Linked DNA regions of Callithrix jacchus. The protein of the gene in region 2 interacts with the protein of the main gene of each other region in a pairwise test. Links are inferred from orthologs where the notes say so. Each region holds a gene or a part of one and is shown on either strand. Other genes may lie near its edges.

Region 1 (2,887 bases), on a different chromosome or scaffold from region 2:
GAAAGTGCCAGCAGGGGAAAGAACAGGATGTTTACCAGCACCTTCCACGACAGCCACGGGCGTGGGGCCCAGGACAGGGTCCCCAGAGGAAGTGACGGTTCATCTGTGCTTATAGTAAGAGCTGCAAGGACAGCCTGTCCTCCGCCCACCACCTCACTAAACTCCCACTGCAGTAACTTGTACTCCCTCAGCCTTCCAGGAAGCTTCCAGTAACCACTTCCTGACTCCTAGCATGACACACTTCTGGCAGTCCGAGGTTGGTGACCTAAGACGGTAGCACAGCGCCAGACACATGCAGGCAGGGAAACAGGATGTGCCTCTCCAGACAGGCATGTGGATGCCACCTGGGCTTTCCCCCTCAGCCTCCAAAGGGGAAGAACATTCTTGCCGGGGTTTTCCCCTTCCAAATGTCTCAGAGCCATTCCAGCTAGCTCCTGCTAGTTCCTTCCTTCCCAAGCTAGAACACAAATCCTTCCCCTCCTTGCCTGGCAAGCACCTTCTTACCCTCAGACCCCAGGCAATGGCCCACCTTCTCCCAGGCTGGTCAGGGTCCCCTCCTCTCTGTTCCCTTAGCCCCTGAGCTTCCTGAGACCAAGCTTGTGGCTTCTTGCCCTTATCCTCTCTCCTTGGTGTCTCTATGTTAGAGGGCCATCAGCATCTGCTGGGGCCTGGTGGCAGTCAGGGCACTCTGCTACTCGCTAGCTGTGTGATCCTGGACAAGTAACTTCTCTGTGACTGCAGTTTCTCCTCTCTACAATGAGAATACCGGAGATTCCTTATCTTAGGTGTTGATACAAGATTAAGTGACATCTCACACAGACACACTTTCTACAGTCCCTGTTGCACGCTAAAGCACTCAACATGCCACGGATACATCACCGGTAACCACCCCATGGGTTTACTATGATGCTGCACAATTATTAAGCCTTGACTGCTAGAGTTGTAACCAGTCTGCACTTTCAACCGGTTTACCGTGCAAACAGCATTCCCAAGTCCGGCTTTCACCTGCGCCCTAACGGCTCAGCTTCAAAAGTACAGGACGGGGGGAGGGCAGCTGTGCACACGGCGGAGGGCAAGGGGCAGGGTGCTGGGCGCGCGGCGTGGTACTACGTCTTCTCCCTGCACCCAGCCCCAGGCGCACGTAGGCCGGCTTCGGGGAACTGACCCGCCGCGGCCCGTGTGCAGAGGGGGGTGCGCCCGGCCCCATGAGCTCAGTCTGGTGTTTCACCGGGAGCAGCGAGTGACTCAGCGCGGAGCGTGTGCAGGCGGCGCCGGGCCAGGGCGGGGCTTTTGCGCTCTCCCCGGCTCTTTCCAGCTATAAACACAGCTCGCCGCGCTCAGCGCCGCCACGCCTCAACTTGTACTCCAAGTCCTAGCGAGTTCGCGTGCAGCCGTGTTCCGACTCCAGCCGCCTCTTCAGCTCGCCATGGACCCCAACTGCTCCTGCACCGCCGGTAAGGGGCTGGGGATGCCCTGTAGCGCCAGAGAAGCAGTTTCTGACCCCTTTTTCTTTCTCTGATCACTCAATTTCATGGCAGGAATTGCTCCTTCCCAAAGCGTTTTGGGGTGTCTTTCTCTCCATTCTAGGTTATTCGGAGCCCCCTTTTTTACCGTTAAGGAGATCTGAGTTAATAGCTTGCTCAAGTTCCCAGGAATTGGTTGTGGACGGAGAAACTCGGCCCCGGGCTCCTAGCACGCCGTCCCGCGTTCAGATATTCAGGGACCGTTCTTACCTCTGTCTTTTCTCCTGACAGGTGACTCCTGCACCTGCGGCGGCTCCTGCAAGTGCAAAGAGTGCAAATGCACCTCCTGCAAGAAAAGTAAGTGGGATCCTCTCTTTCCTCTACCCCCTCACTGTCCTCCAGCCTGTCCCCAGCCCTCTACATCATCCTCGGCGGAAGTAAAGCAGTCTGGGGATGCCCCATTGCATGGAAGTTGTTGCCTCCTCAGTGATTCTTATCAGGGAGAGCAGGGATCCTTCTCTGTGTCCCTAGTACTCATCTCTGCTGCCTCCTCTCTGTCCCCAGGCTGCTGCTCCTGCTGCCCTGTGGGATGTGCCAAGTGTGCCCAGGGCTGCATCTGCAAAGGGGCATTGGACAAGTGCAACTGCTGCGCCTGATGCCAGGACAGCCCTGCTCCCATATGTAAATAACATGACCTCTACAAACCTGGATTTTTTTTTTTTAATGTACAACCCTGACCCGTTTGCTACATTCCTTTTGCTATGAAATAATGTGAGTGATAATAAAAGAGCTTTGACTTGATTCTGCCTCTGGTTTCCTTTATATGCCTTAAAAATAAGAGACTGGGGTGAGGGATTGAACTAGGAGGGCAGAGACCTGGCCTGTGGATGGAAGTGTAAGCTGCTAAGAAACAGTGTATTCAGGCAAGCCAGGCTACCACACTGAGTTTCATCTTTTGTAAAACTGAATGTTGTGCCAGATCATATGGGGGCAGGAGGGACACATACACGACCAGTTTCAGTGTCATGTCAAATGTGGCACAGAAACTTCGCCATTCCTCATCTTCACTTTCTGATTTCCCTGCCCAACTTCAGTTCTTCATGGGATTTTAGACTTGAAAGTGACTCCAGGGGGTGGTATCCAACTCCCCAGTGGCTGGAGTCTGACATCGGATTTCCAAAACTCCCTGCCGAGAATGACCAGTTTTGTTTTGTTTTCCATTAGTCATAAACCTAAATTCTGGTAAAATAACGAGTTAACAAGAAAATGAAAGTTAAGAAGAAAATAAACAACGATCATTTATTAGATTCAACAGGAAAATTTCAACAAATATTTGAAGAACAAATTACATAGGAAAAATAAAAGAATTACCAGCACTACACATTTGTCCAAGGGTTTCCAGGCCAGTTCTGAGACTGGCCCGA
Region 2 (4,175 bases):
ATAACATTATTAAATGCACTATGCTTTAGAGCAGACTTTTATGTATATGGTTCCAATTATGTGAACTCTATTGTGGCTAAGAACAGGCCCTATTGGATTAGGATGAAACTCAGTCTCTGGGATGATCTCTCTGCTGTTTGCAACTATTCTAGTTCTCCATCTGACCTTCAGGGGGCAAGGTCAGACTGTGTATTAGTCTGTTTTCAAGCTACTGATAAAGACATACCCCAAACTGGGTAATTTATAAAGAAAAAGAGGTTCCACATTGCTGGAGAGGCCTCACAATCATCGCAGAAAGTGAATGGCACGTCTTACATGGCAGTAGGCAAGAGAGAATGAGAGCCAAGTGCAAGGGAAAACCCCTTATAAAACGATTATATCTGGTGAGACTTATTCACTATCATGAGAACAGCATGGGGGAAAACACCTCCATGATTCAGTTATCTCCCATGGATCCCCCCAACAACATATGGGAATTAGGGGAGCTACAATTCAAGATGGGATTTGGGTGGGGACAGAGCAAAACCATATCAGACTGATTGCACTCACTCCATACATAACAAAGCATGTAATGGCTGTAAGACCACAAGGAGAAGTGACAGTAGCATTGCTCTGGGCTGAAAGTTTTCATTGCTAACATGAGAACTGAGAACTCATCTTCACTTCACCTTGACTACAATATTTCAAATAGTGACCACTCTGTCCACTTGGCATCCACAGTGAAGGCAGTACAGCATGATCAGCGGACCACCATACATGTGTAGCTTGAGTAAGAAACAAAGTTTTAATTTACAGATATCTTGGAGTTATATGTTATCACAACGCAACCAAGCCTTCTTCAGGCTCACAGCATGTAATGACTTATCCAAGATTATACAGGTAGAACATGTCAAAAGTAGTATGTTAATGATCTTCCCCATACCTCATAAATGCTAAAGTCACTGTTCCTTCTATTAGGTCTCAGTTTGCTTCATTGGTTCATTTCCTCAAAAATAAACAATATTTCCCCAGGTACCAAGATATAAACATAGGTGTAATTAGTCTAATCTGGGTTTAATCAATTCCAGTTTTGTAAAATAAAAGAAATTTCCACTTATTTTATAACTAAGCCAAGAAGCTCATACTTAATCTCTTCTAGTATATGAAGTTCAGAATTCTTAACAGTCCCACCTTTGGGGCAGAGAGAGAATACTTATCTCAATTAACCAAATCACTGGTCAGATAAGAGGTAGCAGTTAAGTAACAAGGACTGTAACACAACCGCCCAGGGTGTGACACTGTGCTTTGCGATCCTCTGGATGACCTCATAGGAAAGGTGGAGAACCAAGCCTTGCACATATATAAACATGACCCCTTTCCCAGGACATGGTCAAGGCAACTGTAGTGACAATCTCGGAGCAGCCTCTGCACCACAGCCATTTCCAGCATGAAGATCATTGGTGGTCTCCTTCTGTTCTGTACTGTGATCCATTTCTACAGCATCTCAGGTAAGTTAAGGTCAGACAATGCCCTATACAGCCATTAAGTTTGTTTTCACAAATAATCCCTCCTGAGATGTGAGCATCTCAGAAACATCTGGTTGTAAGAATTTAAAGTATAACAGTTTGTAACAGAATTTTATATTCTGTCTGTACTTTGAGAGACTTGAGTCTAATGTCTTCACTTTCAATGATTCTTATTTGCATCCATAGACCAAAAAATGATCTAATTTATCCATAAGTCTTTCATTTCATATGTTCATATGGACACTGGAAGTTGTGAGTGTTATTAGATACACTATTCCTTAGTGTCAAGATACAGAAAAATTTAGATGTCTTCTTTTTTTTTAATTTTTTATTGGATTTTAGGTTTTGGGGTACATGAGCAGAGCATGCAAGACAGTTGCGTAGGAACACACATGTCAGTGTGCTTTTCTTTCCTTCTCCCCTTCACCCACATTTGGCATTTCTCCCCTGGCTATCCCTCCCCACCTCCCCCTCCCACTGGCCCTCCCCTTTTCCCCCCAATAGACCCCAGTGTTTAGTACTCCCCTATCTGTGTCCATGTGTTCTCATTTTTCTTAAATCAGTTTGTAGGGATTAAAATAAAACACAATTCTCAAAAAGCCAAGGGTCAACAATTAGGCTTTTATGTTGAGAAAAGTTAATTAAAGTCTTTCCAACCCCTAAAGACATTCCAATAATGCATTTCTTTATATCAATTAGGAAGGAAAGGATATCAAAGATGATCCTTCAGGCTCTTAAGAGTGATGATTTTCATGATTCTTATTGCTACCTGACTTTGGCCAATATCAAAAAAACTATGAGGTTCAGAAAACATCCCATGATTAATAAATGGAGGAAATTTTGATAATTCTTTTGCCTAAACCAAGGGTTAATCTAACCCATTGGCCATTCAACTTCCTCAGCAAACAACTATGATTTTGCATAAGGATGGAGAGTGTGCTGAAATTCATTGCCAGAGAAAATCTAATTATATAGAATGAAACATATTAATTAATGAGATGTAAAATTTGCTTTATTTTTAACATTTTCATCTGCATCTCTTTTTCAGAAGCTGCTAGTCTGCCTTTAAAAACAGTGAGTATTTTGAATAACATTTTAATGCCAATGCCTATGGACTGCCATTTAGCCAATTTATGGTGGATAAATTCAGTACATTTAGGAGGATTCAAGAGGGAAGCAAACACATATGGAGAAATGGTATCTGCTCTCCAGAAGGCAACTGAAGAAATATATCTATAAACAAACATATTTTAAAACTGTTTTTTAAACATTCCAGAGTTAAAGGAGGGAGAGCTGCATTCCAGCTGAGAGGTTGGTAATATTTTCCTAAAAGGCGTAACACGTAAGAAGCGGGGCAAAAATACCCTGATAAATTACACAGGCTCTGGTTTTCAATACTAGCTCTAATACTTACCAGCATTTACCTTGAACAAGTTATCGCTAAGCTTTAATTTCTCCATTTATAAAGAGACTTAATGGTAAAACTTACGCTATTTAGTTGTTTTGAAGATTAAACAACAAAATTAATGTAAGATTTAAGTTTAATGTCTAGCGCAGAAATGCCCAGCAATTGTTAACTGAGATTAGAAAAAATAGAATATGGTAGTACTAGTATTTGTCATAGTGGTAATACTAGTACTTACAGAAGTGGTCAAGCAACATCTGAATATCTGAGCTGGGACTTCCAGCCCTTGTAGTATATCTAAGAGTGGCCAAGGTATCCTAGCTTGGGGTCTGGGAGAAAAAACAGGATATTTGCTTGTGTATGACACAGGTGGACTGCAGCATTTACAAGAAGTATCCAGTGGTGGCCATCCCCTGCCCCATCACATACCTGCCAGTTTGTGGTTCTGACTACATCACCTATGGGAATGAATGTCACTTGTGTACTGAGAGCTTGTGAGTACCTCATAAGAAGAAAAAGAGATCTGAACCCATGCTCTCTACTATGAATCCTTCTTCTTTCCAGGACCCAGCTTAAATCTCTATATGCTATAATTTATAATTATTCCCACTCAGAACAGCAAGTGGGGATAGAAAACGGACTGTTGCACAATCAGACAGGGTAGTGTCACCTGTTCTGCCAGCTTATACTGGTCCCATCCCATCACAGAACCTCCAATTCCTGTCTGTCAGTTGTGGGAATCCAGTAAGACTGTGAATTCTTAAACTGCTGTCCCAGAGCACAGAAGTTCTATAGAGACAAGTCAGGAATCACCATTAGGGTTAAAGGGACCATATAGGATAGTTTATGACATTAAGTTTAGCTTTGACTATATTAAGTAGTGGAGTGCTGTGTTCTTCATGTTTGAAAAAAGGGCTCTGAACTCCCTACCCTCAAAAAATTATTGAAAACCACTACACTACCTGACTTCCAAGATACTTAACAGTCTCAGTGCAGCTTGATTCTTAGACACAGGGTGTCTACAGGATTTTTATCTTCAAATTCCTAGAAGCTCTAAGTATCTGTAGCTTTAAAGGGGAATAAGGCTGCAAAATAAAGGCTACAAAAAATGATTGTTTTTCCTTTATCTAAAATAAGGGATACAAGCTGTCAGTATTTGGACCAGAATACCATAGACATGTTTTGTTTAGGTATTTTCTTTGGCCCACACAACGTTTTTGCAGATATGTAGCTAGGCAGATGTCACTTTTTTGGTACAAGACATG
Region 3 (3,651 bases), on a different chromosome or scaffold from region 2:
CTGGGGAGCCTGTGCAGGGCCTTTTGGGGGATGTGCCACTTCCGCTTCCTCCTCACTTGAAAGAGTGATGTTTTCACTAGGGACAGGGCCTGTGGGCGGTGGGGGGCTCCCACATGGCTGGTCTTCGAGGTCCACGTCGTCCTGGAACCCTGCCACCATTGGGTTGCCACCCAGGGCCTCTGCATCACTGCAAAGCAAGTGGCCAGGCAGTCAGGAGGTAGCAGGGTAGGGACGGATGGCCTGGCTCAGAGGCCTTGGTTCGAGGCACCACAGCACACCCTGATGGTGGCCCCACCCCAGGGTCTCCTAGAAGCTGTGTCTAGTGGAGACGCCCCTCATGGCAGTCACGGGGCTTCTGAGCAGGAAAGGGCCGGGTAGGACAAGGTTGGACACAGTGCTGCCCTGTGGCTGGTCAGTGGCCTGGAGGGTGGCAGTGCAGCTGGGCACTGAGGGGGCGAGCCCAGCTCAGGGCCACTTTCTATCCTTTGTATTTCTGTAGGAAACCCGTGCCCCACAGCAATGGGTGAGGACAGGGTGCTGAGACCACCTAAGGTGGAGCCTGTCCAGTGGAGCCCATGCCTGGGACCAAATACAAGGCTTTACTGCAGGGAGCATTTGGGGCAGCTTGGCAGACAGCAGTGGGAGGGGCTGGCAGACGGATGGGGAGCTGGCTCTAGCTCCCAGCTCTGGAACCTGCAGGAACCCTGGGCCCTGCAGAGACGGTATCTGGTGGCCCGAACCTCGACATGTGACCCAGAGTGTCCTTACCAGTGCCCTCCATGTGGCCTGAACCTCCTCCCCATGTGACTTCCAGGAGCCTCACCAATGCCCTCCATGAGGAATGTGCCCTCTCCAGGGTGTGGGCAGAGTGGGTGGCCGGGCCATTCCAAGGTCTGAAAGCCCCATCCGAGCCCTTCCCTCTTCTGCGCTGGCCACAGATCTGCGCTGTCCTCAGCCACACTGCCCAGCTGGCAGGGGCCCCCTGGGGGCAGTGGGACAGTGGTTCAGGGCCCCCCTCACCTGTCGCTGTCCTGCGCAGCCTTGGCCCCGACCTTCTTCTCAGCCCTGGCGGGGGTTGTGTCTTCCAGGAAGCTGCGGTCCAGGTGGTCCTCAGGAATGAAGTCCTCCACATTCTGGACTTTTGCTGGGGCCTCTGTGGCCGGGACTGGCTCTGTGAACAGTGATGCTGGTTCCTCTTCATTTAGCACCAGAGGTCTCACTGTGCACAACCCCTGGCCAGGCCCACCCAGGCTGGGACTGGGACAAGCAGGAAGAGGTGGGGAGTGCTCCAAGACCAGGGGCCCCACCTGTGAGGGTGCAGGAACCAGGGTCGGAGGGCAGCTCCAGAGCCTACCTGCAGGAGGTGGGGCGACCTCAGCAGCAGGTGAGGTCCCAAAGAGCCTGGAGATGATGCTGCGCCGTGGGGCGGGGGCTGAGGGGCATGTAGGCGGGGGCAGGGCCTCTGAGGGTGGTGTAGGGGCCACGGAGGCTGGCGGGGTGGTGTTGATGGGTAGCTGTGGGGCAGGCTGGGGTGTGCTGGGGCTGGAGCTCCCCGTGGACACAGCGCCTGGAGCTACCACTGGTGACTGGGAACCCGAGGACGGGCTCTGCCCGTTGGCCGCCAAGGGGGATGCATGGCCCCGGCTGCGAACCTCCATCATCTCCAGGAAGCTGGAAGGTAGAAGGCGGTGAGAAGGCTGGCTCCTCTGCCTCTCCCTGAGGCTCCTGGGTGATAGGGGGCTCTTTGCTGCTGCTGGGAAGAGTGACTGTGTTCTGGGGCACCTGCCCCACAGAGGCCACCCTCCCAACCCACTTTTAGGAGCAGCAGTGCCGAAGGGTGGGGACAGCAGGCACCAGTGTGGGCATGTCCCACTCCTCAGAAAGTCCCTGGAGATCTGTTCTGAGGCAGCTGATGGGGGCTCTGTGCAAAGGTTGCCAGATGGCTGCAAGCGGACCTTCCCGAGGGGATTCTGGGAAGAGGAGGGGCTGGGCTTGGCGGGGTGCATGCAGTTGATGCAGCGTCCAGCTTGCCCAACTCAGTCCCTGGAAATCCCAGCTTGGTTCTGCAGAGAAACGCCCGTGTGAGGGGCTCCTTTCTGGGGCCGCCCTGGCAGCCAGAAGCCACGGGTCCCTCTAGGCATCACATCGCCTTCTCAGTCTGCTGCTGTGTCCAGAGCAATCTGCTCTGTCCAACAGCCAGATCCAAGGTGACCCACGGGTTCTCCCTCTGGAAATAAAGATCTGCTGGGGAACTCAGGAGGGGCTGTTTCAGTGTCCCTAGCTGGGTCCCAGGGAGGCTCCAAGTCCCTAGCTGTGCAGGAGCCTGAGGCAGAGGATGGGTCGGCCTTCCCACCACCGGCAACCCTGGGGCTGCCTATGCTGCCCATGCCCACTCAGGAGGATGCTGAGCCACCCACTCCTATCAAGGACCAGAGGCCTGTATGTCCTGACCCATATGCCTCTTCAGCACAAGGAGCTCCTTAGAAAGCACACACCACGCTGGTTGTCAGTCTGGGAAGCCGAGCTCCTAAGGAGCAGGCAGCCCCCAGCACCAGTGCCTGGCCAGTCGGTGGCACTCAGAGCAGCAGACATGGCATGACTTGCACACACAGTCCATGTCAGGTGGGACTCTGATGGGGCTCCTGGGGGCAGTGCCAGCCTGAGCCCTCCTCCACCTGTGCCCCAAGATGACTGATTTACCCCAAACAGGGCACTCCCCTCTGCTGTCCTGGAGCAGGCCAGGCCTGGCACCATGTCTATGCCTGCAGCCCTCACACTGCCCCCACCGTTGGGCCCAGCCACGCACATGCTGTAATTCTGGTCCTCCGTCTCCTGCTGCACCGACAGCTCCTCTAGTGTGGCGTCCATGTCCAGCTGGTTTGTCTCCAGCTGCCGCAGCAGCGTCTCCCTCTGCAGAAGAGAAGCACATAGGCCTGAGCAGGGACCCTTCCTGATGTGAGCACCCCAGCCCGACAGCAGCCGAAGGCATCGGGGGCACCACCTGCTGAAACCAGGAGATGGGGCAGGGCTGGCTGCTCAGCACCTCATGGAGCTCTGAGCTGGGCCTCACTGGAACCACAGAAGCCCGCAGGACTCCTTCACAGTGGCCAGCATGACACCTATGCTACCTCAGGGCACAGATGCCAACCACAGGCACAAACCCCAACAGAAGCACCTTTACCCATACATGTGCTTGCGAGGGTGCAGAAGCCCCACCTTCACCTGGAAAACAGCCTCTCTGCTCCCAGATTCGCAAATCTCCTCTGGGGGCAGGACTTAGCCCCGGCGTCCGTGCCATCACCCCCACTCCCACCAGCAGCTGGGCTGTGCAGCAAACCACAGCCCACCTGGCCTGGAACCCCAGGCCGGTCTGATGAGCTGTGGGTTCACGTTGCTGCTAACTTTAGATTCAAATTAAATAAACACCTGCAACAGCCACATCTCAAGCACCTGAGTCCCACGCAGGAGGCACCTGGGGACTGAACAGGGCTGTGTCTTCTTGTGGCCATGGAAGGTCTGCTGGCTGGACACCAGGGAGCATATACGACAGAGCAAATCAACTAGACAGAAAAAGCAGGTGCATCTGCAGGCTAAGAGAGACTTGAGATGGTGTGGGTTTTATTTTATTCAGACAGGGTCTCATGCCATCAC

The links.
Region 1: the proteins of SPINK7 (region 2) and metallothionein-2 interact in binary tests that used the Homo sapiens proteins (3 or more experiments, as listed by UniProt). The link is inferred for Callithrix jacchus from reciprocal best matches to the Homo sapiens genes SPINK7 and MT2A.
Region 3: the proteins of SPINK7 (region 2) and RABL6 interact in binary tests that used the Homo sapiens proteins (3 or more experiments, as listed by UniProt). The link is inferred for Callithrix jacchus from reciprocal best matches to the Homo sapiens genes SPINK7 and RABL6.

Annotation. Positions count from the first base shown.
Region 1 is NC_133521.1:14,458,915-14,461,801, forward strand, and holds metallothionein-2, read left to right. Parts: upstream 1-1,345; 5' UTR 1,346-1,426; coding exon 1,427-1,454; intron 1,455-1,754; coding exon 1,755-1,820; intron 1,821-2,027; coding exon 2,028-2,119; 3' UTR 2,120-2,264; downstream 2,265-2,887. UniProt on the Homo sapiens protein: Metallothioneins have a high content of cysteine residues that bind various heavy metals; these proteins are transcriptionally regulated by both heavy metals and glucocorticoids.
Region 2 is NC_133503.1:47,017,191-47,021,365, forward strand, and holds the start of SPINK7 (serine protease inhibitor Kazal-type 7), read left to right. Parts: upstream 1-1,367; 5' UTR 1,368-1,426; coding exon 1,427-1,487; intron 1,488-2,553; coding exon 2,554-2,579; intron 2,580-3,279; coding exon 3,280-3,404; intron 3,405-4,175. UniProt on the Homo sapiens protein: Probable serine protease inhibitor.
Region 3 is NC_133502.1:185,271,042-185,274,692, reverse strand, and holds part of RABL6 (rab-like protein 6), read right to left. Parts: intron 2,911-3,651; coding exon 2,807-2,910; intron 1,672-2,806; coding exon 1,355-1,671; intron 1,187-1,354; coding exon 1,021-1,186; intron 188-1,020; coding exon 1-187. UniProt on the Homo sapiens protein: May enhance cellular proliferation. May reduce growth inhibitory activity of CDKN2A.